7 linked regions of the Coturnix japonica genome follow. The protein of the gene in region 4 interacts with the protein of the main gene of each other region in a pairwise test. Links are inferred from orthologs where the notes say so. Each region holds a gene or a part of one and is shown on either strand. Other genes may lie near its edges. The genes, in order: CLIC3, NCDN, TSSK3, EFHC2, SPG21, EDC3 and COPE.

Region 1 (4,543 bases), on a different chromosome or scaffold from region 4:
ACTTTGAAGACTCGTGACTTGTGTTGTTCCACCTTTTCAACAGTAGCCGTGAGGTCTGCCTGCACCGTGCTGCTCTGCAGGTGTGATGCATGCAGGGCTGGGAGCTGTGTGGGGCAGGCAGGACCTGCAGGCAGCGCCAGGCAGACTCGATGGGCAGCAGCTCCTTGGCTGTGCTGGGCACAGCTCTGGGGCAGGTGAGCCAGCGGTGACAAGGTGGTGGCTTTTTGTCTTGCAGCTTTTCCCTGCTGACAGGTGCCACTCCTGTACCCCACTTGCTATGAGTTGCTGGGGTTTTTTAAAGAGCGTTGAGAGATAATTTATAAAGGTTGTCTGTGCTTGTCTTATTGCCAGTAAAGATGGTACCCAGCCAGCATGATGGTGTGTGCATCGTTTCATTCTACACTTCCATTGCTCTGCAGCCAGTTTCAGCTCAATCTGGGAGCTCAAGGGCTCCAAGGAATGTACTGTCCCACCAGTTTTGTACCCGTGGATGGGTGGGTGACTGGTGAGAGCCTCTCCAAGTCATATGCAGGGGGCAGCTACAGTGGCTGGTCACTCCAGACACTCTTGTCTTGCTTGCAAAGCCTTTATTGATTTCCAAATGCTCTGATACATACATGGCTTGGATTTTTCCCACTTCATCCCCATCCCTGTCCCAAATCTGCTCTAGAGAGCTTCCTAGCAGCAAGTCCTGGTGGGACGTTGCCCTCTGCTCCCCTGGGTGGGGCAGTGGTGACAGGGCAGGGTGCTGCAGTGTCCCCCCCAGCTCCATTCCCAGGGCTTTACTGTGACTGTGCCAGTTCCCCTCGCCCTGTGATGCTGTTTATGGACACCCTGCAGTGCCTGCTGTCCTGGCCACAGACACACTTAGGGCAGCTTGTGTGGTGGGAGGCTGCAGGGATTCCCACTGCAGTGTGCTGCCCTCCAAGCAGCTTTTCTTCCCTAGCCCCTGCTGTTCCCCTCAGCATTGCCCAGTTCTGTTACAAGCAGTGCCCATGCCTGTACCCATCCTTAATGCTTGAGGGACTGCAGAGCGGGTCAGGGGTATCCCGGCCAGGCAGGGAGGGTGACATGAGAAGCAAGAAAGTGTTGGCAGGCTTGACGCAAGGTACCTTGGGTGCCAGCTGGGAAAATCTGGGTGCTGATGCTCTGCCCTCCCAAGCACGTGTGGGCAGGATGGCGATGGGAGCAGCAGGACCAGGTGGTGCTGAGCTGCTGCCTGGCCCTGTGCCCACCTGGGCATCTGCCCGGCTCACTGTGGGGACCGGACAACGGAGCGGTAGGCCTGCACAATCTCCTCACTGCTGGGACAGGTGTATTTGAACTCCTTGGTTTCAGCAGCATTATTAAGGTAGCGCCACACTGCATGCAGGTCCTTGGGGATGCCGAAGTGGCGGTAATGCTGGCAGACGATCTGTGGGCAGAAATAGCCCATTGCTGTGTGCCCATGGCGTGCTCAGGGGGCCCTGCAGCTGGGAGCTGGTGGTGCTCACTGGTAGGAGCCAGGGAGGATGGCATGGGGCAAGAGGACATCGCTGGCATAGCACAGGATAGAGGGGGGTGTGGGCTGGAGCTGTGGGGTGCCAGGCAGCCACCTGAGGGGTACAGCGAGCCAGGGGATGGAACAGGGGAAAGGGAAGTTGCTGCAGGCAGGTGGCAGGTGAGCACCCAGGAGGAGGTGAGAGCGTGGGGCAGGCAGCACCAAGGAGGCAAGGCAAGGAAAGGCAGCGTGTGGTGGGGACAGCCATGCACCTGCACGATGTTGAGCTTGGGCAGCAGGTTGCAGTCTGCCAGCGTCAGGTGGTCGCCATCGAGGAAGCGGCGCTGGGAGGTGCGGAGGTGGGGCTCACGGGCCAGCTCATGCTCCAGGGGTGTGCTCAGGTACTCATCCAGCTTCAGCAGGGCCTTCAGCAGGTTCCGCTGCAGCGCTGTGTAGGGCGGCAGCAGCGTGCAGTCAGGGCAGCAGGCAGCCCCCTGCCCTTGCTCTGCCTGCACTGTGCCTGCACCGTGCCTGCCTGGTCCAGGCTGGCGCTGCCTCTGCCCCCGCCCCCCACGGGGCGCGGCACGGCACAGCCTGCCCCTCAGCTCCTCACCCTCATCCTGAGCAGGTACCGGGTTCTTTATGTAGGTGGAGAACTTGTGGAAGATGTCGTTTCCAGCCAGCCTCGACTCCTTGTACCGCGGGACCAGGCTGGGGAACCTGCGGCGACATAAGCACAGCTGGGGAAGGAGACAGCAGGGCTGGGAGCTGCCCCTCCCGCCCCTTCCTCAGCTCCTCCACCCCTCCTTAGCCCCTCTCAGGGCAGCGCCGGCCACTGACGTGGGGGGGGCCAGCCTGGCCTCCAGGAAGTCCTCGATGGTGACTGTGTCGGTCTTGGAGTCTCCGTTGTAGAGCAGAACGGGCAGCTGAGCGCCGGGCGCAAAGTCCTTCAGCACATCCAGTGCCCTGCAGGAGAGAAGAAGCTGCTGATGCCCGCGTTGCTCGGGGATCTACAGCGCACCGGGACCCGGCGTGTCCTGGGCAAAAGGATGAGGTTCTCCGGGGGCTGTTCCTGCCCTGAGTTTGCCTATGGCGGCTCCTCCCAAGAAGTGACCGCCGCCCTTCCTTAGAGTAATGGTGGGCAGCCAGGGGGTACAGCAGGTGTCCTCGGCCCCTTTCCCACGTGGCGAGACCTCCCCGCACCCTCCGGGTGCCCACGGCAGGGCTGTCCCACCCCACGCCCCCAGACCGGCAGAGCGTCGCGGGGCACCGCTCACCTCTTGGTGTCCACGGTTGTGAGGGTGAAGGGAGCTCCTTTGAGCCGCAGCACCATGAAGAGGCGCTGGCAGAAGGGGCAGTTCCCAATGTTCTCTCCATCCTCGCTCGCCTGCGGGCAAAGTCAGAGCTCAACCGCCACGCTCCGGTGCAGCCCCCGCGGCGGCCGAGGCAGCGGTCGGACGCTGATGGCGATGCTGGCGGCCCCGGCATTCGCAGGCAGCGGCAGCCGCGACCCCTGGACCGGCCACCCCCGGCCCCGGTCGGGTCCTCACCTTGACGAAGAGCTGGATCTGGGGCTTCTCGTCCATGCTGGGCGGTGGCTGAGCGGTGACTGTGCAGTGAGTGCCCGTGCCGGAGCTGCGGCCCCTCCCAACCCACATTCCTCCCCGGGGTGCTCCCGCTCCCACCCACGCGTGGCCCCACGGCACAGAGGGGCCGCCCCGTCGCGGGGCCCCGCGACCGCAGCGGAGCGGCAAAGGGCGGCTCTGCCCGAGGTGTGTGTGTGTGTCAGGGGGTGCTGTGCCCCTCGGCGCTCCGTGCCCCCCCAACCCGCTATTCCCGCACCGGCTCCAGGCGATGTCCGCGCCGTGCCCCTACCCTGGGCACTGTGAGCCGCTCCTTACCCCCTGCCCAGCCACCCCCCCCCGGCCCGTTCCGCAGAATTGGAATTCCCACTACCCAGCCTCGCTGGCTCCAGTTATTTTTTATTTAAAACAATCATTATTTTCACATTTCATTTTCTTTTTTTCTTTATGCTAGCAATGTACAGGCTCCTCCGGAGCACCCTCACCCACCGGGGTGCCTCACGCTCGGTGCCGTGCATAGCACAGGAGCTGCTCCTGCGGCGGTGCGGGGGGAGGCGAGCTGGGAAGCGGGGCCAAACTCAGGAAAGCAAACAGTGTTAAGGCAGCGGGCACCCCGCCCTGGGCAATGAATGTGCCGCTCCAGCCCGGCTGCCGTGGGGCACCTTTCTGCACGGCCCTCCCGCACCTGGAGCAGGGAGGGCACGCGGCCCCCAGGCTCTGCTGGGTTCTCTGCGAGGGGCACAACGGCTTTGCCGAGCACCCAAGGGCGGCGGGACGGCACCGGGTGGGAGCGCAGGTGTCTCCTTGCACGAGTAGCCCCACAGGTGCAGCAACAGGGCGGCTGTGGGACGAGCACACGGCCCTGAATGAAGCAGGGCAGGGGGCCGTGCCCACCTTTTGGTGCCCGGAGGGGGCTGAGCTGTCCCCACTCCCAGGCCACACCTGGATACCTACAGGCGACACGGTCCCTCCTTTCCCTGGTGGCAAAGGGCAAACCCAAAGCGCTCGCTCTTGCCCCCTGCACCACCCAGGGACTGGCTAGTTTCCAGCATGCCATAAAAAATATATGGTCTGAAAAATCTGAAAATAGAGCTTATCTCCCCCCCCCAGTTTTTCCCCTATTGAAAATACTGTATATTGTATCACAGTCTCTAGTAGGTGGCACACTGGACTGGCGGTCTGTGGGCGCAGCAGAGGGCAAGGTGGCATTGCTTCCACCCCAGGTCCATCCTCGAGCAGGGGCAGCAGCAGCCCCATCCCACACCCCCGCAGCACTGCCCCCACCACAGTGAGCCCGGGGTGCTGGAGCTGCCCCGTTGCACGCTGGGCGGGAGGTGGGCACAGGCAGCACAGTATGGGCAGCAGGGCATGGCCACCTCGGAGGGGGTGGGAGCCCTGTGGTGCAGGGGGTTGGCCAGGTTAGCAGTCCAGGCTCAGCAGTCACCCCTGTGATGTGGCTGTGAGCCGCTGAAAAGCTGCA
Region 2 (4,680 bases), on a different chromosome or scaffold from region 4:
GAAAGAAAAAGGAAACGAATGAGTTGATGCATTACTTGGCCAAAGGAGGGACCCTCTGGGATTTTTGTTACACTTCCAATGACAAAAGCCCTACATGAAACTGGGTCTGTTCTTCTTATATTCTGGGGTCCTCAGTCCATGCAGAGCAATGTGCAGCTTTGCCATGCTGCTTACCAGTGCTTCTTACCTGCTGAACTTGAAAGGATCCTTGCCATCATCAAGCCCAGAGTGGCAATGTTGGCTGCTAGAACCAAATGATCCTTCTGAGGTAGAAGGAAGGGAAGAGACTTCAGCAATGTGTCCATCAAAGAAGAGAAGGCTTTTTCCTGCCTAGAAAGAAAGGAAACCCTGAGAAACCTCCTGAGCAGAGCCAGACACATGTGATAAATGCAGCATTAAAGAATGTGATGAGATTGGCACTAAGAAAAGGGGCATCATTTTTTCAGTACAAGTGTCTTAAAGGATCCTGGAAGCTCATCTCTCATTGCATCCCTGTCCTTCATAAGACAAGCTTCTGTGGCTCCGTTACCTGATGAGGTCTGGTGCAGTCACAACCAGGTTAAGGAAGATCCCACATAAAGTCTGCAGACTCATCTCAGTGCTCGTCAGGGACCCAGGCTGAGAGGTCAGCACCTCCCAGTGATGCAGGAAGTAGTCACACAGTAGTGCTGGTGCCCCTTCTGAGATGAGGATGTCTCTGGGTCTGTCCTCTGCTGTTAAATGGCAAAATCCAGGTAGTAGAAATCTGTAAGGTGGGAAAAAAATGAAAACAAAAGGTAGAGAACAGTGAGTTGGGGTCTAAACCCTGGATTTACATCAGCCGGGGGGGGGGAAAGTGCCATAGAATTGGTACTGCAGAGAGAAAGGGAAGGAGAAATTACTCTCAAAATCAGCTCAATCAGTAACACAGTGGTGACTTCCTTATGCCTGAGGGAAATGTACTGAAATCTTACAGTAGAGCCCACGTAGGCTGATCTGCTTCTACAAAGACTCTATTATTTTCCCTGCTTGCTGTAGCTAAAGCCTAGACACACAACTTCCACAAGTCTTTCCCTGCCTCTCAGTCTCTGTGTGCAGCTGCCATCTTACATTAGTCACACACAGAAGGCTTGGACAGCTGCATTGCACTGTGGCAGTTCCAGTTGCCTCTTTCACAGCAAAGGATCAACAAGAACTTGACCTAAATGCAGGATGCAGGAAAAAGTGTCATTTTGTGTTGAAATGCATCAGCTCTGTACTTAAAATACACACCTCAGAGCATCCTGGGTTAAGATGGAGCTGTCACTGCCGACCAGCCCAGCTGCCTGGGGAAGATTCTCTGCTGGGCCACCCTCTTTGAAAAGCTTCTTGGTATAATGAACAAGGAAAGGTAAGAGCTCACAGATCTCCTGCTTGAGGGAGGATGTCTCTTCTGCCATCCAGGCTCCAAGGATCCGAACAGAAGCGAATATGAAAGGATCCTGTAGCTCCTCCTCTTTCACCTGGGTACAGAAGAAAGCAGCTGATAGAAAAAAGATGAAAACCACAGTGGGCCAAAATGCACATTTTGGTCTATTCAGCTTATGGACACGAGCTGCTAGAGCAAGTCTGGACTTCCGTGGCTGATTTTCTTATTCTGATGTAGGAAAAGGATGGAATATAAAAATCACAGTAATCACTGAGTTATTAATTTTCTGTCTTGTGATCTATCAGCCTGGGTGCATCCTGCTGTTCTTAACCACATGTGGGTAAGAGGCCAGCAAGACCCAGTTTATGCACTGTAGGAGCTGTTTAAAAGCCTCCCCACAGTGAAAAGCCATCATTTCCTTGCTTGAAAGTTCCTTACCTGTCTCAAGTAAAACACTACGGCTCCAAATGCTTCCTCCATGATCCTCATGAGCTGCATTCTCTGTGCTTCATCTAGCAGCGATTCCTCTCCTTTCAGACACTCCTGGATCCCCATCTCGATAAGGACGTAGCAGGCCGTTATCACTTCTTTTTTCCCCTCCACCTCCATGGGATTGGGCTCCTCTAGGGTTAGGCGGATCTCCACACAAGCCAAGTTCACCAGCAAGGCCAGGAACTTGCTGCCAGTTCTCCCTGCTGGGATCCACTCTGCCCCACAGGCCTGCACGATGCTGGCAGCAAGCTTCAGAGCAGGATCCCTCTGTGACTGGCTGAGTTTACTGCCCAGAATATCAGCCAGCCCTTTGTAAAGCTGCTGGATGCACTCGGAGCCTTGTGAGACCTCAGCAAGTGGTGGTGAGAGGGGGATGAAGCGAGGCAACAGCTGACACAGCTCAAACTTGGTGGCATCTTCAGCCTTGACAAACTGCTCACAGAGCTTCCCCAGCACAGCCAGGAGGTGCGGGGCATCCCTCTGCCAGCACTTCACCTCTGATACAGCCAGCAGCCCCAAGAGCAGCTCCAGGGCACGCTCAGAGCCATAACCACCATTGATATAAGCCTGGCACAGAGCAGACACCGCTCCTTTGCTCACCATCTCCCTGGGACCCCTGGGAGTGGCCAGAACAGCAGTCAGACACTGATACGCATCATCTATCATAGACGTGCAGTCTGGATTAAAGGGAGCAAGCAGGACGCTATTGAAGGTCGGGATTTTGTTCAGGATCTGTGTGTGTCCAGCCAGCTCCGGTTCGGTACAGAAACAACCCAGCAGGGTGAGACCCAGCGCTTTAAACATGTATTCAGGGCAGCCTGGTGGGGTTTGACTGGAGCTCAGCAGCCGGTTGGGGAACGTGAAGCCGATGGCATCGAAGATCTGACGTCGGGTCTTAGAGTCCAGATCTCCAGCTTTAACCGCTTTAGTCACCTGGAAGGGAAAGCAATGAATAACAACAAGGCTCAATATGGCTTTAGGTGTTCCCTATGGGTCCTGGTAATGCGTCCTTACCATCAGCAGTGCTGCCAGCTGCTCGCTGTCGTTCCTAGCATCCCTTAGCACCTCCATGCACTTCTTTAACGTCGCAGCTCCGTGTATCTCGGCCATAACGACCCGCTCGGCTCCACACCGATATATTAAGGACAACGAACGGAACCAGCCGCCATACACACGCGATCCGCCCCTTTAACCAATGGGTCGCTTCTTTATTACGTGATTCCGGAGCTGCCCCTCCCCGAGCTCCAGCCGGTAGCGGAGCAGCTCAGCCCGGAGCTGACGGTACCGGGCTCGGTTCTCCCGGTGGGTCCGTTCCGGATCCGGAAGGGGTCGTTGTGTTTCCGGGCTGAGCCGCTATGGATGCGGGGTTGGGGGCTGTGCTGACCCCCGGTTCGGCCCGTTGGAGGCTCGGCCGCCCGGCGTGAGGAGTGGACACCATGCGGGCCTGGTACGTGGTGCGGGGTTCGGGTTCGGTGGGGTGGGTTCCGTTTGGATATTGCTAATAACGAGCTTTAGGTGTCGTTCCTATAGTCAGTTTTGTGATGCTGCTGCTTACAGCTTGTGCCTAATAACGCTCTGCTACCCCTGCAAACAGGCACTATTTATCCCTGATGAAGGTAATGTATCGCAGCTTAGAGCTGGTTGTGGGGTCTCAGGGACATCTGAGGCTCCACATTTACACCCAGTGCTTTCTGCTTTGTGCCCATAGAGCAGAACGTGCCCTTATCTTCATACAGCTCAGCATTGCTGTGTTCTGGCTCTGTTAGTGACTGGCACCAAGCAGCTCCGCTGTGAGCACTGACATCACTGCAATGTGTGTTTGTCAATGTGTGTGTTGTGTTGGAGGAGCTAATTGAAGATCCATCACCCTATTTGAGCCAAAAAAGGCCCAAATGCAGCTTTGGATGTGGTGCTGTTTGGTGTTTTGCTGCTGAAAGCGATAGAATCAAGGTGGGGAATCACAAGTTGTGCTGTAGTTCGGTAGTTGGGAATTGTGCTGCTAAAGGTCTCTTTAGCACTGTGACATGGATGGTTGCTTATCTGCTGTGCTCAGCTGATAAGATTAGCTGTTCCTTTTCCTCTACAAACACCCTGTGCTGTTCATCATGCTGTGTGAGCCCTTGCAGGAGCACACCAATGTCCATAGGATATCTTCTATGTTTCCAGAACCCCCGTTGCTCCCCACAAAGGCCATGGAGAAGAGGTTGGAAGCCAAGCTCAGCATTAATGCTCCATTTCTACTACAATATTTCTGGGGAAGACCTGCAAGGGAACTGAGAAGCCTGAAGCTGCTTTACCTGTGCACCTGCCTGTGTGCCTTGTGCTCCTCAACAGGTGATTGTGTTCTGCGTGGAACCTTGTCTGTATTGTGTATTGTATCTTTGTCTGCTTTATCTGAGATGAGGATTTGCCCCTTGTTCCAAAAAGGAACTAACGAGACTCTGCTTAGTAATTTCATTTGAGCATTTATTGGAGGAGGTTGGGAAGGTAAGAGTGTTTTGAAGCATCCTGTGTTTGTAAAGTCTCCGCAGACAGTGTGTGTCAATAGTCTATTTGCCTATGGGTAATTTATGTTTGCTCTTATATTTCCTGTTCAAACTTGAGTAACCAGCCTCTTGCTCAAGTAAATACACTAAATGGGTTTCTTACATGGAAGCTTGCATGTAATAGGTTAAAACCATGAAGGCCAATGCACGTATGAAAACAAATGTGATGATATTAGACATAGTTATCCTTACGTGGACACTATTTTCACTAGAATTGCTGCTATTTTGGTCTTGTATCACTTAGGAAGCAAAACT
Region 3 (3,913 bases), on a different chromosome or scaffold from region 4:
ACCGCCCCTTTCTGGGGCAGTTCACTCTTAGTGTCATGAATTGCAGGTTGCCCTAATGGGGCTGTTTGGCCTTTGGGGGGGTGGTTTTATATGTGCTACCTTTGCTCTTCTGCCCCTTCCTTGGCTGCTTCATCTGAGCTGTGGGTTTTGTTTCTGGATTGCGTTAGTGTAGGTGCTCTTGGAAAACTTGATATTCTCCCCCCCCATTTGGGGACATTCAGATGTGGGGCTGCAGCTGCGGCTGCTCAGCACTGCGCTCCCTGGGCTCAGGGTGACCCAGGCTGGATGTGGAGCTCTGGGCCGCGCTGCTCTCATGTCTCCTGTTTTTCTTTAGTCCCACTGACCGTCTGGTTGTCTGTGCAATATTCTCTGTTTATTCCGGAGCCTTTTGTAGCTGGGGTGGAAAACCAGGAACAATTCTAACATCTGTAGTTTTGTAACTTTCTCCAAACCTTTTACAGACTTGCAGTTAACAGCAATTAAAGGAATTCCGCACTCACCACTGTGTCCTCCTTCCTTTTCCCCTGCCCTGGGCTGGGGGCAGCTGCCTCAAGGGGATCAACTGCTTTATGTTTCTGCTTTCCTCCCCCTCATCCCAAGGGAAGTTTGCCTACAGGGGGTGGGAACATGGGGCTGCTTGGTCTGTTCTGTTCCCTGCTGAAGGCCGGGGGTTGGGAGGGGGCAGGTAAAAATGGCCTAAAGTGAAGCAGCCCTCAGCTCTGCCTTGGCAGCACACGTGAGGCCGAACACGTGGGAAACACATCCAAATTTATTGGCATCCTCGAAGCAATCTGTCCCCGGGGGGGAGCAGCCGAGCGCTCCTCAGGGTCCGGCCAACCAGGGGTGTCTGCTGAGCCGCTCCACCGACGGCCGCAGCACCATGTCTGGCTCCAGGAGCCTCTTCAGGAGGTCCTGGCACGGCCTGGAGACCTCCAGGTGCCTGGGCAGGGAGACGCCTTTCTGCTGCTGGCACAGCATCTGCGGGATGTTGGTGTCGTCGAAGGGCAGGTGGGCGCACAGCAGGACGTAGAGGATGACGCCCAGGCTCCAGATGTCGCCCTTGCAGCTGTCGTGGGGCACCCCCTGCAGCACCTCGGGGGCCGCGTAGGCCACGCTGCCGCAGAAGGTTCTGCTCAGCTCTCGGCTGCCCACGGGGAGCTGCTTGGCGAAGCTGAAGTCCGTCAGCTTCACGGTGTGTCCCTGCAGCAGCGCGTTCTCGCATTTGAGGTCGCGATGAGCCACCCCGCAGCCGTGGCAGTAGCGCAGCGCCTCCACCAGCTGGCAGAACAGCTCCCTGGCGCAGGGCTCGGGCAGGGGACCCCTGTGTGCCACGTAGTCGAAGATGTCCCCGTTCTCGGCCAGCTCCATCACGAGGCAGATATTCCCCTCCGCCGACTCCAGCACCTCGTACACGTGGATGATGTTCTTGTGGTCCAGGCGCTCGATGATTTGGAGCTCCCGGGGCAGGAACTTCTGAATGAACTCTGCCAAGAGGGGGAAAATTCACTCAGTTCCTGAGCTGCTGAGCCCCGGCATCGCACCGGGCTGCGGCCACAAAGTGGGAAGGAAGAAGGGTTGTGCCAGGGTGCCTGGCTCCAAGCAGGGCCCTTGTCGGAGGGGTCTGAGCTGTGCTGCTTTTGGCCACCTTATGGCTGGAGGAGCCGGATGGACACCCCATGGCCTGGCTGCTCCGAGCTGCCCCCAGCACCTCCCTGCCCCCAGCACCTCCCTGCCCTTCCTGCTCTTGGGTGGAAAGTTTGGGAAACTCATTTTCTGCCTGGAACTAAAAGCTTCCAAGGAGGGGTCGGTACCTGGGAGCTCTTCAGGGGCAACTTCTTACCTTCTGGACTCGCCCTTTTATCAATGATTTTAATTGCTACTTTCTTCTGGTGCTTTTGGGAAAAGGCCTCCTTCACCTTGGAGTACGTTCCCTCCCCAATGGTTTGGCCGAGCTGGTATCCGCTGGCGAGCAAAAACTCCTCCATGTCCTCTCACAAATCGGGGCCGTTCAATCTCAGTTTTACCCCCAGCAACTCGACAACAGCATCGCAGCAGCCAGGGGCTCCCCGTGCTCCCTGTTGGCACGTGTAGAGCCACCAGGCCCTGCTCCTGCCCTGGTGGGAAGGGGCATCGAGGCGCCTGTTGTAGCATGGGCGTGTTATTGTGATGCAGCCGATGCTGCATGAATCCCAGATGACGGAGGTGCATCAAAGTGGGCGACAGCTCGGCCAGGCAGGGGGGAATTGGGCTGTGCTGGGCAGGACCTGCTCGGTGGGCACCGTGAGTACAGGGGGGTCACAGGGTCCATTCTGTTCCTCTCCCGTTTTCATCGGGGTGTGGCGGGGGGGCTTTAGGAGCTGCTGCTCACACAACACTTTGCTGCTGCAGGGAGGGGACCCCAGGCTGCGCCCATGAGCTCAGAGCTGTGCTCACACCGACCCACCGCGGCCTCACGTCTGAGCTGAGTGTGTCCAGCTGCTCCGGCGCCTGCAGCCCAACCAGGCCGGGCTCCTTCACAGCAGGAAGGTGCCGGTGCCGGGATCGCAGCCAGGCCCCGCTGCAGCTCCCAGCTGCTTCTCCCTGTGCAGAGAAAACCGGGCCGGGCCATGAGCTCCCAGGAAGCGCCGCGGGCCCGGAGGTTCCCCATCGAGGCGGGCGACTGTTGTAGTGCGGCCGCAGCTTTGGAGACACAGCAACGGGTGGGCACAGCGTGGACTGCGGGCAGGTGAGGGTCCAAAGGGGCTCCTGTGATGCTGCAGGTTGTGCTGTACTGTGCTGTACTGTACTGTGCTGTACTGTGCTGTGCTGTACTGTGCTGTACTGTACTGTACTATGCCGTACTGTGCCGTGCTGTGCCGTCCCTCTGACCCCTGTCTCCCCGCAGGCAGTTGCGGCGCTGTCCCGCCAACCACCGCCTGACGCTGCCGCACATCCCCATCAACGTGTTCATCGCCATGGGAGGGAACTGCCGGCCCCGCAGCACCTGAGCGGCCCGTGATGTTTATGCACTTTGTAAAGAAAGGCCCATCCTAACGCGATCCCCGCCTGCTGCTCCTTGTGTGTCCGGCCGTGCGGCCCAACGCGTCCCGTGGGCTCCCGGGGCCGCCGCTCCCGGCTCAGCTCGGCCCGGGACGGAGCTCGGGGCTGGGGGGTGCAATGGGGGGGGTCGTGTCGGCGCGTGGGCACGTGGCGGGACACGAGGATCCACGCGGGACCCGCGGCCGCGAGTTGAAGCCCGGCCCCGCCCCGTGACCCCGTTCGGGGCGTTGCTCTCCGCTCTCGTCCCGCCGCGGTCCCTCTCGGCCGCCGTCCGCCGCTCCCCGCCCTCCCGCTGCCGCCGCCATATTGTGGCCGCCGCCGGAACGTCCGTGTCGGGATCCGCGATGGGTGAGAGCGGCGGGACCGGGCGGGGCGGGATCGGTACGGTACGAGACGGCGGGGCTGCGGCCGTGTCCGCACTTGGCGCTGCCGGGCGCTCGGTTGGCGGCACTGACTCAGCCCGGGGCCGGCAGCCCCAGCGCGGCCGTTGGGCTCCGGGGCGGCGGCGGCCGGAGCTGCGGGAACCGCGTGTCGGTTGTGTCCGTGTGTCTGTCGGTGTCTATCCGTGTGTGTCCGTGTGTGTCCGTGTGTGTCCGTGTGTGTCTGTGTCTGTCCGTGTCCGTCGCTCTTTGGGCCGTCCCGCGGTTCCGCTCGGTGCCGTTGGCCGCTGTCGGTTCGGGTTCCGGAACCGGCTGCGTCCCGTGGGGCGGAGTTCGGCGGCGGTTCCGCTCCGTGTCCGTCCGGTCCGGTCTCCGTTCGTTGCCCCGCGGTGCCGCCGTTCCCCCGGACCGAACCCGAACCCGAACCTCACCCCGCGCTCTCGCAGCGGTTCCGGTGCCGTTCGGTCCGTCCCGGCGCGGTGTCGGTGTCCCCG
Region 4 (3,880 bases):
TGCAGCACTGTCAGGCATAGTGCCATTTCAGGCTCTTACCTGGAGGTTAAATTAATTGGGTAGTACTCTTTAACTGTCTATAATTAAAATAAAAGACATGAGCCCTCCAGAGTCTAATTTTAAACCCATAAACTCCTGTCCTGCATTGATTGCCCTGTGTGGGAATACAAAGACAGTAGCCAGCTAACTCATTTTACCAGCAGTTCCCCTCACTTTCTACTTAACTCATTTATTTCATAATCTTGGGTCCAAATCCTGGAAACGTGTATGTCCCCAAGAAATCAATGCACACTTTCATATCAAAAAAGGGGTGCAGACAGAGCATGTGCAGGGCTGGCCCTAACACTTAGGCACATTATACCACTTCACATTTGAGCACATTGGTGAAAAGCAGGCAAGCAATACGAGGGACTTCAGATATAATGTATATCTGTCTATTCAAGCTTTACATTTTCTTGCAGTAGTTCTGGTCTGCCAAGGAGACAAATAGATAATTATGATGAAATTATCTGCATGACTTTTACTTTAAAACAAAAATTATGCCATTCTTCTCAGTATTTAAATATCCTAATAATTTTGTCATGCAACATTTCTGCAATTTGCTGAATGATTTCTTTTCCCGGATCATTTTCCTTCTCTGATTATAGGCTTATTGCTTTAGAAATAAACCATCGCCAAGTAGCATTTATAGTAAATTTTAAAAGGGAAGGTAATGACAGCATGCTACAAAATACATATCATCCTAGATAACAGTTATTTGATAACTCTCTAGCTTTAGAGGTGCCATTACACTCCTATGAAACAAATAAATATATGTATTAATTTTAAATCCCAGCATCTATAACAGATACTGTCTATTTCCCCACACATGAACAAAGTCAACAGGACTTTGAGCAAGCAAACAAGACTAGATAGGGGAATTCTAATCCTCAGAACTGCACTGTGGTTAGTGGTCATGCAGATTTTCTCCTGGAATGAGGCTTCCCTTACATTCCTTTAACTACACATTTCCTTGTTTGATCATTTGAAAAACAAAGAAATGGAGAAGTACATTCATTCTGAATATGCTGCAAATCAGTTATTTGCTATCACTATTTTAAATGGGTATATATTAACTACCCCCTTATTTGTATTATGCCCTGTAGGAGACATATCCCAATACAGAAATATTTGTGTACGTTGCTGTATAACTTACATCTACCTCAATTATACAATATACAAATATTAAGGAAAAAAAACAGAAGTTTCCACCCTTTTTGTTTACACAAGAACATTTCTCCATGCAAAAACTAATCTGACTGTCTGAATTTCACCTCTGTATTATGGTATCTGTTCATAAAAAAACGCACAGATCCTGATTTCTACATACCTTTTTGTCAAATGCTATCCAGGCAGGAACACCACATCCCAGATCTGCAGGAAACACGCTGGATTTAGGTTTCAGCTTCTGTCCAGGTAGTGGTTCACCTCCTATTCCAGGTTTATCTTCCCCAACCAGCATAGCAACATTATTGCAGTAGCCCCAGAGCTGCGATTTGTGGAACTTCTCTTTCCCTAACTATCAAAGGAAAGAGAGAAAAAGACATTTTAATGTGTGGTTTTAACTTCATAAGAGTTATCTAGCTAGGCAAGGGGGATAAATCACATAGAAGTTTTTCTATAAGTACTTTTCATACTATCTGTAAACCTGTAACAACTTGAGCACGGCATGTGAAGTGACGTTATTTCAGCAGTCAATTTTGTGTCTTACGGATCAAAATGGAAAGGCATTTTGTTAACATAGCCAGGCTGAGAAATAGGATGATACCAGCTGTTGTCCCCCCTTTTCTTCCCTGCAATAAGGACTATGGAAGAAGGAAGCAAGTCACCCATGGGAACAATGCAAACGGTAGAGGGGGAAAAGCTTCCTCTATAGAACCCTAAAGGTCAGATGGAAACACTTCAAGAGTACCTAGAAAACAGTCTGCTGTCATAACCTATGTTGAAGACCTCATTTATATTTGCATTGCAGAGTGCAAAATACATACTCCTGAATACACTTCAGTTTTGGGAATCTGCAGCTGAATCAAAAGACAGAAAATTCATTCTATCTGGCCTTATTTCAAAAGACAACCTCTGAAGCAATTTAATATTATTATTATTATTTACATTATTACTGTTTTTCAGGCAATTACAGATGGAGTGCTTAAAGACAACCAACTGCAAAGAAAGCCATCCTGGCTTGATGCTCCAGTGAGCATCAGTTCTGCCTGTGGGAATGCTCCTTCCAGTGGGCAACCTGCACTACAGGCGTGCTCCCTCACGCAGAGGCAGCAGCTCCACACAGATCAGACTAAAAGGAAGAGCCAAAACAGGAGACGGCACCACAAACCCTTTCTTCCATGAGCAGCAATATTGATCCATTAGCTCCTCTTATTCTGCTCCCTTCCTCACTCCCTCAAATCCTTGAAAAGCTTTGGAGCGACTGAGTTGTGCCCCCAACCTTCAGCCTGGGGCTGGTGTACCATGAGGAAGGGGGAAGAACCGATGCTAGGAAAGCACAGAAAGGACCTGGCCAATGGAAAGGATAGACAGTATAATTCTCCGAGCATCACTGGAACAGATATGTCAGTAATGTAGCACTGCATTTGGAAAGTTTGGATATTAGGAATAATTCTCTCTCAGTCAGAGCAGTGATGCAGTGGCACAGGCTGCCCAGGGAGGTGGTGCAGTCACTGTCCCTGGAGGTGTTCCAGAGCCGTGTGGATGTGGCACTGAGGGATGTGGGCAGTGGGCATGGTGTGATGGGCTGCTGGTTGGACTGGGTGATCTTAGAGGTCTTTTCTAGTCTTAATGATTCCTTGAAGAGAAAACAACATTAATTAGAACACACACATTTAAATCAGTGCTTCCCAAAAAGTGTAGACGACACTGCATTACCATCATGAATAAAAATTGGCCAAGAGAAATGTTGTTCATCATAGCGATGTTCGAGTGCTCCAGAATAATATAATACACATTCAATATTCTGGGAAATGTGAAAGCAGTGGAGCAGCAAAACCTGAAAGGGGCTGACTAGTTATTTTACTCTGCCAATATGAAATGGAGTGAGGAATCTGAAAGGCAGCTAACCTTTGGCTCATAACATTCACTGCTCATATACACAAACTACTGCACACTGAAGGTGAAAACCTCAATGGCGCTGTAAGCCCAATGACACAGGAAGGAGAGCTGTCCTTGAATGAACAGCTCAATCCCTACCTTAGTTTAGATTTTGCTTATAATGCAAAGGCAGTGGTATGCAAAAAAAACCACATTACTTATTATTTTTACAACTGATTATTTTTAATGCCATAAAAATCAACAGCCGTACCCTGCTCAGGTTAACAAAGGCTGGGCTGAGCAGCATCCTTCAAAGCAGACACTGCAAGGTTTCCAATACGGGTGGTTTGCTCCCTCTTTTTTGGACACTAGCAAGCTGCTCTTTCTTGTTTTGTTCCCCTTTATTATCATTACTTTTGTTCCCTGGTAAACTGATAAAGAGCTGGAAAGAATGGGAGGGAGCTTTCTGTGTTTATTAGGTGTAATGTGGAATAACTAGAGTCGAGCTGAGTTCTACACAGGAAATTTGTGGGCAAAAACATCTGATTTCCACTGAAGGCTCCATACACCAGCAGATCCATTCTGACACAGCAAGTACTTCTTCTCTGCCTATTAACAAAGCATGAGTTAGGGAGAAAAGCACAGTTTTTAAAGCACGGTAAAAACCTCTGTAGCTTTTTAGGTCTTGAAAGAAAGATCATTTTAGATCAATAATCACAGGACTACTTGTAAGCTCCTCTGTGAAGATCACCCAAGCATCCTCTAGAAACATGAGCAGGTTATTTCTTTTCAAGCAAAG
Region 5 (2,969 bases), on a different chromosome or scaffold from region 4:
TCTTAGATTTTTTCTCAACTTCCCTCTTAGCATGGGAGTTTGTTCAGAAAAGTTGAGGTGACTACATGGTCTGTGGTCTTTAAGGAGAAGACCATCGAGATTGATCGGTGTAACACATATAATTCAGGTGGGTCACTTCTTTAATCTCTGGGTTGTCACTTGAAAAGCTTAGATGGACATGGAGTTATCTGTGATCTAAGAGACAAAGAGTGAAGTTGTTAAGGTGACCTGAGGGCTGATATGTTCATGCACAGCATTGCTGCATGGATTTTACTGTTTTAACTCCAAGATGTTAGCATTGATTATTTTACACAGTCTCTCCTAAGGACAGTTTTCATAAACACAGATTTGACCCATCAGCTTTTGTATTTTTAGAGTGTTTCAAGTAGAAAAAATGGCTGTATTGCAATGAATCAGAATGTTACTGTTAAATTTGCACACTTTGTCCTAGTCAGCCTTTTCTTAAAAAACAAACAAACAAAAAAAACCACAAAGAAACAAATCCAACAACAAAACAAACCTGCATAAGAGGCAAATTCAAGTAGAAGGTTCGGCTTTTCTTAACGTCTAAAAGGTACCCGTAGAGATAAACCTAGACTACAGAAAGCAACGCTGCTGTTCTCTTGCAATCAGTAGAAGAGGCAATTGCTGAAATTGGAGTTTTATTGAAAACCATTTTTAACAGCTAGCAAGAAAGTTAAAAATTTCAAATGGAAACTAACTTGCAACACAACATACGGAGCAAAGAAGTGATGGCATCATTGGCACTTAAACAACTTTTAAATCAAATATTCAACAAAAATATATGTCAACCTGTAAGTACACAACCTGCATGTGGCAATATATACAGCTGAATGAAAATATAAAAAGAAATACTGTTCTGTTTAAGAACGTGATAGTGAAGACTTTGGTAGCAAAAATGTCTTTGTTTTTAAAACTGTAGTCTTCAAAGATACTTTCTTGAATTCAAAGACTAAAAATTAAACGGATGCCCTGTCACATTGTTGAGTGTTTATTGTCCGCGAGTAGCTCACTGACTTGATCCTGCTGGAATCACACAGTGATAATCGGCTAACACAAGGAGAAAGGCAGAGTAGGAACAGGTGATTGTACGCAGGAGGCCCAAACTGATTCCTCGTTTTCACTGGCAGTCAGAAACCTACTGCTCTTCCTGTTCACTGCTGCTATGAAGACTGATCTTTTGGACTTCCAGTTCTTCTGCGCTGACCATAGAGGGATCAATGGCTGCGTACCGGGTACCATGGAACTGCAGTAAATGAATCTGTTGGATATAGAAAATAACAGTGAAACCGGTGTAGATTAAGACACATTCCTTATGGGTAATGTTTCAGTGAGGATGAAGTTGTTGGCCTGGAATACAAGAGTACAGACAAAGGACTGAGGGAACAGGTAGCAACCAAGCCTCCAAAACCAACCCTTGATAAACCTGCAGCACAGTTCTTCTCTATCAGTGATATGGGAGTAAAAACATCAGGCAGTTAAAGAAAAAAGCAAGCTCAGAAAAAGTTTCCTGTTATTTCAGCAACACATTTGTAGATTAGGTTTGAATGCAGACACTCACTTGAATGTATAAATTGACCTCAGCGCTCCTGCAGAGATAAGGGAAATTGCCTCCTGTTTTGAGATGAGCTCTTCTGGCATTAGGATAAAGTTTATACATTTCTTCTTTCGCTTCGGTTGAGAGCGCACTCTGGTCAAACACCTATGCAACAAGTGACAACAGTTAATTCTAAGTCTAGTCAGATTTTGCTTATTAAATCAAGTTGACAGACCCTGTTTCTAGAAGCAGTTGCCAGCTTGTCTGTGGAGCAGTTTTAATGAAACAGAAAACAAGCAAACAAGTTAAGCATCAGTGACTAGAAAGCTAACACTGATAGATAAACATTTGGGTGTTCTGTGCAGTAACAGCCATTAATTCAACACAGAAGAGCCGCTGTCTTATCCAGTCAGTAGAAAAACTATTTAAATACAAAATTAGATGGTGCAAATATTTATTAAGTTGTGAACACAATATCCAGGCCCTGCTTTCCAAGAGGAGGAAATGATGTTTGGGAGAAAAAAAAAAGTATTTAAAAAATTAAGCTGAAATAAACTTACATCCATAATAGTTACGGGGATGTCTCGGATTTTATGAGGTTCCACATAAGAGTTCTGGCAATTGAGGGTAAGTCTCGAGGCAAGCTCACTCTGGCCCAGACTCTCCAGCTTTCAGTAGAGACAAATTGTGATTAATAACATATTTCACTGCAGGAAGTTAATGCAATAATAACAGCAGAGCCAAAGAGAAGACAGCTCTTTAGTTTTAAAGGGAAACATGACTGCACTTCAGATGAAGATCATAGTTCCATCTTAATATTTCGCTGCATGAGACAAATACTTAGAACGTTTAATTAATTGTTCCTGCCTCTAGAGCATAGCCTACTATCTCAGCACTTATTCCCATTTCCATCTCTTTCTTAGCCACCTCTCTTCCAATATACATAGATAAATGGAACAATAAGGTAGACAAATCACAGCACCAGTTAAATTGCAAGAGCTGTTGCAGCCAACACCTGCTGAGAATCCATCCACTGTTCACTTCTGGGTAAGTAAATGAAGAAAGCAGCAGAAATATCTACAACCTCCCATCTACTAAGTGAATATCTCACAAAGATTGACATTACAGCCATTGGAGCACACAGCCACTTACCCTGTCCACCATGAAATCAATCCCATCGGCCATTTCAGGGTCTACAGGACCAGATGCAAAATTGCCAAGGACAATTTTTTTCAGCATAAAAGCAGGCATTAACCAAAAGCTAAAACAGAAACAAGACGTAACAATCAGAATTAAGATGCTTTCTTTTAAGTCTTCCCTTTTCTTGCACTGACTTTTGTGCAAGAATTTCAAATGAAATCGTGAAGATGCTTCAAGAGCAGAGATGGAAAAACTTGCAGATATGTGACTG
Region 6 (3,880 bases), on a different chromosome or scaffold from region 4:
ATTTTCACTCTCTCCCCCTCAGAGGGAGGATTCCCAAACCAAAGTTAACACGCAAATCACTCCAAAGCTGTACACAACTTGGCATGGAGCTGGCAGACATTGCATTCAACACTGCTGCTAACAGCAGCACAAGAAACACAAACCCAGGCCAACACAACGGGCCAAGTCTCCAAATGTTTCACTGACTGCAGGTCAAAGCAACAGACTCAAAGTTCACATAAACGAGAGCTTGCACTGAACACAATGAGAAAACAAGCTCATTTCTTGTGTGACTGTCAGATGTTAGGGCAGCTCGATCTGTTCCTGTTATCCAACAAGAGTCCTTACACTCACTGCCAGGTTTTTCTCCAAACTACTCTCTCCTCTACCCTCAGATGACCCAAAAAGCAAACTGTGGGGATGGGCAGCCCAGCCATGCAGCAGATCCAGGGGACAGAGGCAGCTGATGTGAGCAGCGTGTAAATGCTGACTGAATGAAAAACTGCATTAGAAAAACTGCAAGAACAATGGTTGGAAAGCTCCTCGGGCTCCCCTGCAGACACCGTGAATGGGAGCCAAGACCATACCTCATCAAAACGAGACGTGCCAGCATTGTGCTGGGCAGCTCTCTAATCCACACCGATGGATGCCAGCCCTGAAATACTGCTGACCCCACAACAGGCTGTCTTATTATAGACTGCATAACCACCCACTAACAGGGGCTGCAAGAGGCTTCCTACCGCTCCAAGCAAAGTTAAGTGGTGTTCCTCTTACTCTCTAGATGGGCAAGCTGGCACCATCGAAGGAAAAGGGCTGAAAAATTGCACAAGGGGAGGAAAGGGAAAGCTCAGGCTAACAGGAGAAGTACCAACTGCCTTCCATGTTGCTGGTGTGACATTATCCCCGGCCCTTTCCTGAAAGCTGCTATTCACAGCCCTGCTTGCTTCCACAGCCTGATCCCCATCCTCTGCCAATCAACCACAGCAACTCAAGAGCTTTCAGCTCAGCTCTTTTCAGAGCCACTCTCAGAGCCTCTGCTCTGCGTGCATATGTGCACAGAATATTAACAAGAACAGCACATCTCCACATCAAGTTAGCAGCTTGACAATGCAAAGAAAAACACCTCCCTCTAAAGACAAACAATACTTCCCAGGCTTCTGGTTTGTTTCTTAGAAGAAAAATCTTTTATGTATAGCACACAAGCAAAATGTAAAGCCTCTATTGAGTTGGCTGCCTTCCTGGCAGACCCCTGCAGCTCTCAGCAGCAGCCCTGGCATGCACAGCCCCGCTCCAGCACAGCACATACCCTGTTGTGCAACATGTAATCTGTGCTGCTGCTCAGTGCTTATCAACTGCTGTCACACATGGACTCCAAAGGCAGAACTTTGTCCCTGACTTGGCACACTAAGGGGCAGCAAAAGGTCAACTTGGAGCCATACTAAGCATGGGCACAGTACAACTTAGTGCTAGATGACATCTCAGCCCATCCTTGCCTTGATTCCTGTAGCCACGACTACCTCCATCACACTGTGGAGAGACTCATACATTATTTAGCCTGCTCTCCAAATAACATTCCAGAGGGTAAGAGTTCAATTTTTCTCCCTCATTGAGCTGAAAATGAAGCCAAGCAAATAAGAACCTACTCCTAGCACCTTGCTCAACCTGTTTTAAAAAGAGTCTGTAAAAGAAAATTGGACCCACTGTTGTGCTTATGTCAAACTGAAGCAAGCTGTTGGTGGGTTGAAGTAGTTTGAAGCCCTCACTGCACACCCCAGACCCACTAGATTGCTGTTATGTGAGGTGATCTGGCCACAGGCACTGCCCAGCAAGACTAAATAAAGCAGGAGTTACTGCAAACAACTGAGGGTAGAAGGGAAACAGAAAGGCCTGAAGGTGGCTAAGTTCACCAAGGAGAACATGCCCTCCCCCTCACATCATCTTCAGACAACATACAGCCTTTGATCTCCTTGTTTAATTGGTCCTGTGAGTTTGTTTCTTTTCCATGCATAAAAACAAGGGGGGAAAAAAATCAAGTCGTATATCCTGATGCTGTAATAATTGCATGATGAAGATGTGGATATATATAGCTGAGAGGGCTTCATGGAAGAAAATAAATAAATAAAAGGTGAAAACCAAAGAACATACCCAGTTTTGGCACAGCATTAGAGCTGGCTGAGGAGTTTTTTAAACAGGAATTAGAATAGGGACGTCTGGCTTTGGTGTAAGGATTGAATCAGTGCATCTCATTCTCATTAGATGATGTTGTGTTTTTAACAATGCAGCAAAAAGCACTTGTAATTACTCATAGGGCAATGCTGTAATAGGTTTCAGTTAAAGCATGTATAACCATAAGAGTTTCACAATATCATAATTTGGTTCTGGTTCCTTTTAGAGGAAAAAATGAGGCTGTCTTTTGGGCTGTTTTCACTAAGGAAAGATAACAGGAGTTGGGAAATCATTCTAACCAACATCATCCAGTCCTATCTTTTGCAGCATTTGATGCTGATGAAGCAGAACACACAGGCTGTTCTTCACACTGAACAAGGATGGGCAGCGTTAAACAACAGTAAAACATGGCAGAACTGTAGTGCAACTGATCTTTCCATTCAGCTCACACCCCACAATACAACTTGCCCTTTCTGTTTTGCATTAACAAGTAGAGCAGAACTTCCCACAAGCTGTTGGATATTTTCTCTGCCCCTCCTCCTGACCACCAGCCCACAGGGCTGGAGAGTGTAATGAGTAGCACCTGTGTTCTTCAGCACCTGTTGTTCCTCTGCACTGTGTCCACATGTCTTTTTCCCTGTTGTCCCCCCCCAAACATCTGTTCACTCCTATTCTCATCTCAACCCAACCTCTAACCTCACACCAGCAGAAAGAAAAGGGGGAAGAAGAGCTCATACTAGCTTTTATGGGCCAGTAACAACACCATGAGCACCTCACAATCCTCCCAACCTGCAGCACACAAAAGCTGCCTCGGGCTCCCACTCAGAATGCCCTGCAGAAGCCAAGGAATCCATCATGCTCTTGATCTGTAGCTGATCATGTGCTATAACAGACAGATTTGGCTGCATGAACATTCTCATTAAGTTCTGCATGAGATCACACCACCACTATGAAGGAATTTAAGACAAGTGCAAGACCCCTGGAAGATCCATACTTGCAATACTTTGAAGCACGTGTTCCGAACTCTCTCCTCACTGTTTACCTTTCTCTTTCCCAGACCTTTTTGGTGGCAACACAAGTGTAAAAGCAAGTAAAGAAAACTCTGGTTTGAAATATTCTTGCTGAACAAGGGCATATATTGCAGTGGTAACCCAGGCAGGAAGGAAAGTTACAGGTGAACAAACAGACTCACAAGAATTATGCCTTCGACGAAAGCCTTTAGATTGATTCAGCGTTTCCATGTGCCGATCCATATAGCTCTTGGAGCACTGCTGCTGTGGGGAGATGATAATATCCTGATTCTTCATGTCTGTCCTCCTGGGGATGTTCTGTGGGGCACTGCTGGAGTAGGGCTTCTTAAACATCTTCCCAGTGCCATTCTGGCTGGGCCCTACTTGGCAACCAACCCCAGGGATGCCTGTGTCTGCCTGCTGCAAGTCCCCACATTGTCTGCTGTCCCCTGGCCCTGGGATCTCCAGAATCTTCAGCTCAGTAATGTCACCTGCCCTAAAAACAAGAAAAGAAAACCAGTCGTTCAGATATTTAACATTCCAGTTACTTCTACAAACAAAAAAACAACCAACACTGTACACGGGATTGGTTAGAGGTTTCTTTAGGTGCAATTAACAGTGGAAACAAGAAAAAGAAGGACTTAAATAATCTGGCGCATGCATTCCAGATACCAAAACATTCAGCTGAAATCACATGTATTAATAAAAACCTCAGTATTTCTGTG
Region 7 (4,363 bases), on a different chromosome or scaffold from region 4:
GTGTATTGCTAAGAAGGCTGTATTCTGTTTTTGTGGCTAAAGAAAGGGGCCAAGAAGTTAATTTGAAGGGTTATAAAATGAGCTATTGTCATTCACAGAGTCTCCTCTGAGAGATCACTGTAAGACTACAGATGAAAGGAATGCAAAAATATTAAATATTAAGAAGCACTTAAATGATCAAAAGATCAAGAAACATTTCAAAAGAACCACTTCAGAACACCGACTTAATGTTTGGAAGAACATTACAACGTAATAAAAGACTATGAAATGAGATCTTACAATTAAACCCAGGTACAGACACCTGGCTTTTCAAAACATTCCTGCTTTAGAAAGGTTTCAGATGCAGCAGCTTGCACTGATTAGAGGATGAATGTTTCCCTAGAGGAAAATAAGATCTTAAGGAAAACTCAGCCCCAGGTTACTGTTACTGTTGTAACAGGTTACTGCACGCATACCTTGGAGTTTACTGAATCTTAGGAGACTGGTTTCAAACACCTGACATCTGGACTTAACAGACAACACGTGTTTTTGGCTGATCTGAAACTCTTCATTACAATACAATTTCTTGCCAACCAGTTGCAGGCACCAAAAGAACAAGTTTAATGAGATGGTGGTAACTTGGTAAAAGGCCATCACAAACTAAGCACAGAGTCTTGTCTGAATGCTGTTTCTCAGATATCGTAGGCCAGGGATACTCACTACAGCCAGGTTCACCCAGGCAGTAGCCAGCTGAGTGAGGGTCGCATCTTCATCTTGCTCCTGCATCTTCTTCAGTTCCTTGCTGTGGATGCAAAAGTGGGAGTTGTGTAAAAGGAAAACAAGGCCTGTCTTAGTCCTCTAAGATGCAGACAGAAGGTTGAAGTTTCCTTTCTCAAGCTCTTTCACCTCAACAGAAAAACAACCATAGCAAACTAGTAAGGAGGCATAATTACCTCCTAATGTTTCACTGAGACAAGCTGTGGAAGAGCTCCTTGTTTTACTTCTGTAAGGAAAGGAAGAAATCCAGGCCTAGAGATTCAAACCCCTTTATGCTCACTATTCAGAAATAAAGTGACACAGACAAGCTTACTCACCGAGCCAGATCAAGCCTGTCAAGCTTCAGAAGAATCTGGATCATCATCGCCGTGCTGCAATGAATAAAAGCAAATCAATTGTAATAATGACGAGTTTTATCACTCCTTGTGCTTAGCACAGATACACTACTCATGCCAGGGCTATCTATACAGGCAGCCAACAAAGCCAGCAGAGCTCACAGCAGGACTCAAAGCAGGGAAGCTCCCAGCTGCCCTCCTGGTGTACAGCCATAGTACTCACTTCAGCAATTCTGAATCCACACAGATCAATAAATCAGATTCTTAAGTTTCACAAGGGAGCAATAGATTTTATACTGCAGACTGAGCACCACATCCATCACTACTTGAAAGGGAAACCTCTCAAGAGTTTCTCAATGGTTTCAAGGCTTTTCAGAGACAAGCCAGATCCTGGGCATTTCTATTACACCTCTCCCTACATGAGCGAGACTTTGCTAACACACACCGCAGAGAGGCCAGATCGAGTTATACTTACCATTCCAAACTTTCCCCTTGATGTAGAGTACGTAGAGCTGCATCAGGATTTTTGTCATGGAAATAGATTGAAGCAGCCATCAGCAAGAAAGTGGTATTGGTCACATCGACACTTTTTGCCATTTTTTTGTCCAAATCAGCAACAATTGCATCCCTGCAACAGTGTGGGTGAGGGAATAGAAGTGTTTAAAATGCCTCGCTATCAGAAAACCTACTTTTTTGTGGCAAAACCAAAGCCAGACATTATAAAAACCATATTTCTATGAACTCTTCACTTAGAAACTCGTTCTTTGTGAAACAAACTCATTTTCAGACTTACCTTTGACTCTCATTTGAAAGATATTCTGCAAACATCCGCACAGCCTGGAGCTCAGGACTGGCATTGGCTTTAATTTCATCCAGCACAACCCCATACTTTCTCTGTTAAAGGTAAAGCAGAAAACCTAGTGACTTGCAGAATCAAACTCTATAATCCAGAGATGGGTTATAAAGCAGGGACGTTTATTCCAGCACTGGGTGCAAGGGGGATAGCTCCACCAAACTTGCACCCCGACTTGTAAAATCATGACACAGATATAGGTACATCTAATACATAGTCAATGATTTCTCAGAATTCTAATACATAGTCAATAGTTCAGAATTCTGATCTATATTCAATAGTTCTTTAGCACACAGACTCCCTCTTGTTCTTATCAGGGGGATGCAACTCCTCTTCTGGTATTTACATTACCTGTTCTCCTCCTTGCCTGATGTCGTCCATGAGGTCTCACTCCTTACCTGCATCCTCCCTGCTCTCCCAGGCCCCTTGTTTCCTTTACTTGTTACCTTTAAGTTTCCTTTATTTCTATAAACTACCTTTAAGTTTCCTTTACTTCTTTCTATAAGCCACCTTTAAGTTTCCTTTTCTTACTTCTACAAACCACCTTTAAGTCCCCTTTATTCATTTCTACAAACCACCTTTAAGTTTCCTTTCCTTGTTTCTATAAACCACCTTTAAGTTTCCTTTCCTTGTTTCCATAAACTCTTTAAGTTTCCTTTGCTTCTTTCTACAAACTACCTTTAACTACCACCTTTTAACCTCCCTTTATTCTTAATTCCAGCACCTGTTTCCTGCTTCTCTAGTATTTATTACTCAGTTGTGTTTATTACTCGGTTGTGTCGCATTGAGCTCAGGTTCATACCCTGCCCTACCTGAGCCCTACAGTCACATCGTGCTGCTGTAAATCCGACCCACCTGTGCAATGTAGGACCTGAACAAGAACACATCCCTCTCTGTTTCCTTCTCGGGGTTCGATGGCTGGAAGGAGAAGAAGAAACAACAGCTCCATTAAGGAACCTGGGCACTAAACCCAGGAACCTCCTAAACCCAACATGGGTTTAACCCCGTTCGATACCCCCACCTTGATCCGCTGTGCCTCGTTGATGGCGGCCTGGTAGGCCCCGATGTAGAAGCTGTTCTTCACGTCGAACAGCTCGTCCCCCTCCCCGCTCTGACCAGCTGGACCCGACCCCGGCCCGGCCGCCATTTTGCCGCTCCGGACACGTCTCTCCGGAAGTAGCTGAACCCCGAGGGCTGCCGGGAGCCGCCATGTCCATGAAGATGTCAGCTCCAGCCAATAGCCACGCGAGAAACATGTTACGTCACTACGGCGACGGAAGCGGGAGGCAGCCAATGAGAACGCGAAGGAGGCCGGAAGTCAGTGGTGTTAAGGAAGGAGCAAGATGGCGGCGTTCCGGGAGCTGGGTTTGGCCCCGTGGCTGGTGGAGCAGGCGCGGCAGATGGGGCTGAGCCGCCCGACGGCCGTGCAGGCCGCCTGTATCCCGCCCATACTGCAGGGTGAGCCTGGTCTCTTGTTCTCCCTTCCTTGCAGTTCTCTATTATCCGCCATCGCTCACGTTCTTTACTTTGGGGGGGGTCTCCCGTGTAGGCCGCGACTGCCTCGGCTGCGCTAAGACGGGTAGCGGGAAGACAGCGGCCTTCGTGCTGCCGGTGCTGCAGGTGTTGTCCGAGGATCCCTACGGCATCTTCTGCCTCGTTCTGACGCCCACCAGGTACGGAGGAACCCATAGGGGGGGTCCCCTGATGGTGTATCCCCGCTTAGCGCTGCCCTACCCCGCAGGGAGCTGGCCTACCAGATCGCTGAGCAGTTCCGTGTGCTGGGGAAACCGCTGGGATTGAAGGATTGCGTGGTGGTGGGCGGCCTGGGTGAGTGAGACAACACAGAGTGGGATGTGTCCGGTTCTGGGCTCCTCAGTACAACAAAAGAAAGGGATCTCTGGGAAAGAGTCCAGCAGAGGGATACAAAGATGGTGAAGGAGCATCTCCCCTGTGAGGAGAGACTTAGGGAACTGGGTCTGTTTAGCCTTGAGAAAAGAAGGCTGAGAGGGGACTTGATCCAGGTTTATAAATACCTGAGGTGTGGGAGCCATAGTGGTGAGGCTGGTCTCTTTTCAGTAGTGTGTGGGGACAGGACTAGGGTTAATGGGATGAAAGTACAGCATAGGAAGTTGTGCATGAATGTGCGGAAGAACTTCTTTACAGTGAGGGTGACGGAGCACTGGAACAGGCTGCACGGGGAGGTGGTGGAGTCTCCTTCTCTGGAGATAGACCTGCCTGGATGCCTTCCTGTGTGATATGGTGTAGGGAACCTGCTTTGGCAGGGGGGTTGGACTCGATGATCTCTAGAGGTCCCTTCCAACCCCTACAATTCTGTGATTCTGTGGCTGGGGGGGGAGCAGAATGACTCTTCATGTCTCCATGACCTTCCTCTGTAAGGCTGGTGTTTTCCAGCCACGCA

Evidence for each region.
Region 1: the proteins of EFHC2 (region 4) and CLIC3 interact in binary tests that used the Homo sapiens proteins (3 or more experiments, as listed by UniProt). The two-hybrid records come from large-scale screens. The link is inferred for Coturnix japonica from reciprocal best matches to the Homo sapiens genes EFHC2 and CLIC3.
Region 2: the proteins of EFHC2 (region 4) and NCDN interact in binary tests that used the Homo sapiens proteins (3 or more experiments, as listed by UniProt). The two-hybrid records come from large-scale screens. The link is inferred for Coturnix japonica from reciprocal best matches to the Homo sapiens genes EFHC2 and NCDN.
Region 3: the proteins of EFHC2 (region 4) and TSSK3 interact in binary tests that used the Homo sapiens proteins (3 or more experiments, as listed by UniProt). The two-hybrid records come from large-scale screens. The link is inferred for Coturnix japonica from reciprocal best matches to the Homo sapiens genes EFHC2 and TSSK3.
Region 5: the proteins of EFHC2 (region 4) and SPG21 interact in binary tests that used the Homo sapiens proteins (3 or more experiments, as listed by UniProt). The two-hybrid records come from large-scale screens. The link is inferred for Coturnix japonica from reciprocal best matches to the Homo sapiens genes EFHC2 and SPG21.
Region 6: the proteins of EFHC2 (region 4) and EDC3 interact in binary tests that used the Homo sapiens proteins (3 or more experiments, as listed by UniProt). The link is inferred for Coturnix japonica from reciprocal best matches to the Homo sapiens genes EFHC2 and EDC3.
Region 7: the proteins of EFHC2 (region 4) and COPE interact in binary tests that used the Homo sapiens proteins (3 or more experiments, as listed by UniProt). The two-hybrid records come from large-scale screens. The link is inferred for Coturnix japonica from reciprocal best matches to the Homo sapiens genes EFHC2 and COPE.

What each region holds. Positions count from the first base shown.
Region 1 is NC_029532.1:97,579-102,121, forward strand, and holds CLIC3 (chloride intracellular channel protein 3), read right to left. Parts: upstream 3,154-4,543; 5' UTR 3,139-3,153; coding exon 3,031-3,138; intron 2,868-3,030; coding exon 2,758-2,867; intron 2,447-2,757; coding exon 2,321-2,446; intron 2,201-2,320; coding exon 2,094-2,200; intron 1,929-2,093; coding exon 1,753-1,928; intron 1,415-1,752; coding exon 1,253-1,414; 3' UTR 571-1,252; downstream 1-570. UniProt on the Homo sapiens protein: In the soluble state, catalyzes glutaredoxin-like thiol disulfide exchange reactions with reduced glutathione as electron donor.
Region 2 is NC_029538.1:3,821,422-3,826,101, forward strand, and holds the start of NCDN (neurochondrin), read right to left. Parts: upstream 3,013-4,680; 5' UTR 2,990-3,012; coding exon 2,894-2,989; intron 2,813-2,893; coding exon 1,826-2,812; intron 1,482-1,825; coding exon 1,252-1,481; intron 746-1,251; coding exon 530-745; intron 331-529; coding exon 188-330; intron 1-187. Other genes in the region: KIAA0319L (dyslexia-associated protein KIAA0319-like protein homolog), read left to right, coding at 4,072-4,213. UniProt on the Homo sapiens protein: Probably involved in signal transduction in the nervous system, via increasing cell surface localization of GRM5/mGluR5 and positively regulating its signaling. Required for the spatial learning process.
Region 3 is NC_029538.1:4,558,663-4,562,575, reverse strand, and holds TSSK3 (testis-specific serine/threonine-protein kinase 3), read right to left. Parts: upstream 2,294-3,913; 5' UTR 2,281-2,293; coding exon of another isoform or gene 2,245-2,280; 5' UTR 2,244-2,244; coding exon of another isoform or gene 2,194-2,243; 5' UTR 2,078-2,193; coding exon of another isoform or gene 1,986-2,077; coding exon 1,841-1,985; intron 1,485-1,840; coding exon 823-1,484; 3' UTR 749-822; downstream 1-748. UniProt on the Homo sapiens protein: Serine/threonine protein kinase required for spermatid development and male fertility.
Region 4 is NC_029516.1:100,084,405-100,088,284, reverse strand, and holds part of EFHC2 (EF-hand domain-containing family member C2), read right to left. Parts: intron 1,559-3,880; coding exon 1,370-1,558; intron 1-1,369. UniProt on the Homo sapiens protein: Microtubule inner protein (MIP) part of the dynein-decorated doublet microtubules (DMTs) in cilia axoneme, which is required for motile cilia beating.
Region 5 is NC_029525.1:16,060,068-16,063,036, forward strand, and holds the end of SPG21 (maspardin), read right to left. Parts: intron 2,820-2,969; coding exon 2,711-2,819; intron 2,227-2,710; coding exon 2,119-2,226; intron 1,724-2,118; coding exon 1,583-1,723; intron 1,283-1,582; coding exon 1,160-1,282; 3' UTR 650-1,159; downstream 1-649. UniProt on the Homo sapiens protein: May play a role as a negative regulatory factor in CD4-dependent T-cell activation.
Region 6 is NC_029525.1:1,776,105-1,779,984, reverse strand, and holds part of EDC3 (enhancer of mRNA-decapping protein 3), read right to left. Parts: intron 3,652-3,880; coding exon 3,338-3,651; intron 1-3,337. UniProt on the Homo sapiens protein: Binds single-stranded RNA. Involved in the process of mRNA degradation and in the positive regulation of mRNA decapping. May play a role in spermiogenesis and oogenesis.
Region 7 is NC_029543.1:2,774,358-2,778,720, reverse strand, and holds the start of COPE (coatomer subunit epsilon), read right to left. Parts: upstream 3,132-4,363; 5' UTR 3,092-3,131; coding exon 2,966-3,091; intron 2,863-2,965; coding exon 2,800-2,862; intron 1,986-2,799; coding exon 1,885-1,985; intron 1,720-1,884; coding exon 1,567-1,719; intron 1,128-1,566; coding exon 1,074-1,127; intron 782-1,073; coding exon 700-781; intron 1-699. Other genes in the region: probable ATP-dependent RNA helicase DDX49, read left to right, coding at 3,288-3,402, 3,494-3,617, 3,686-3,771. UniProt on the Homo sapiens protein: The coatomer is a cytosolic protein complex that binds to dilysine motifs and reversibly associates with Golgi non-clathrin-coated vesicles, which further mediate biosynthetic protein transport from the ER, via the Golgi up to the trans Golgi network.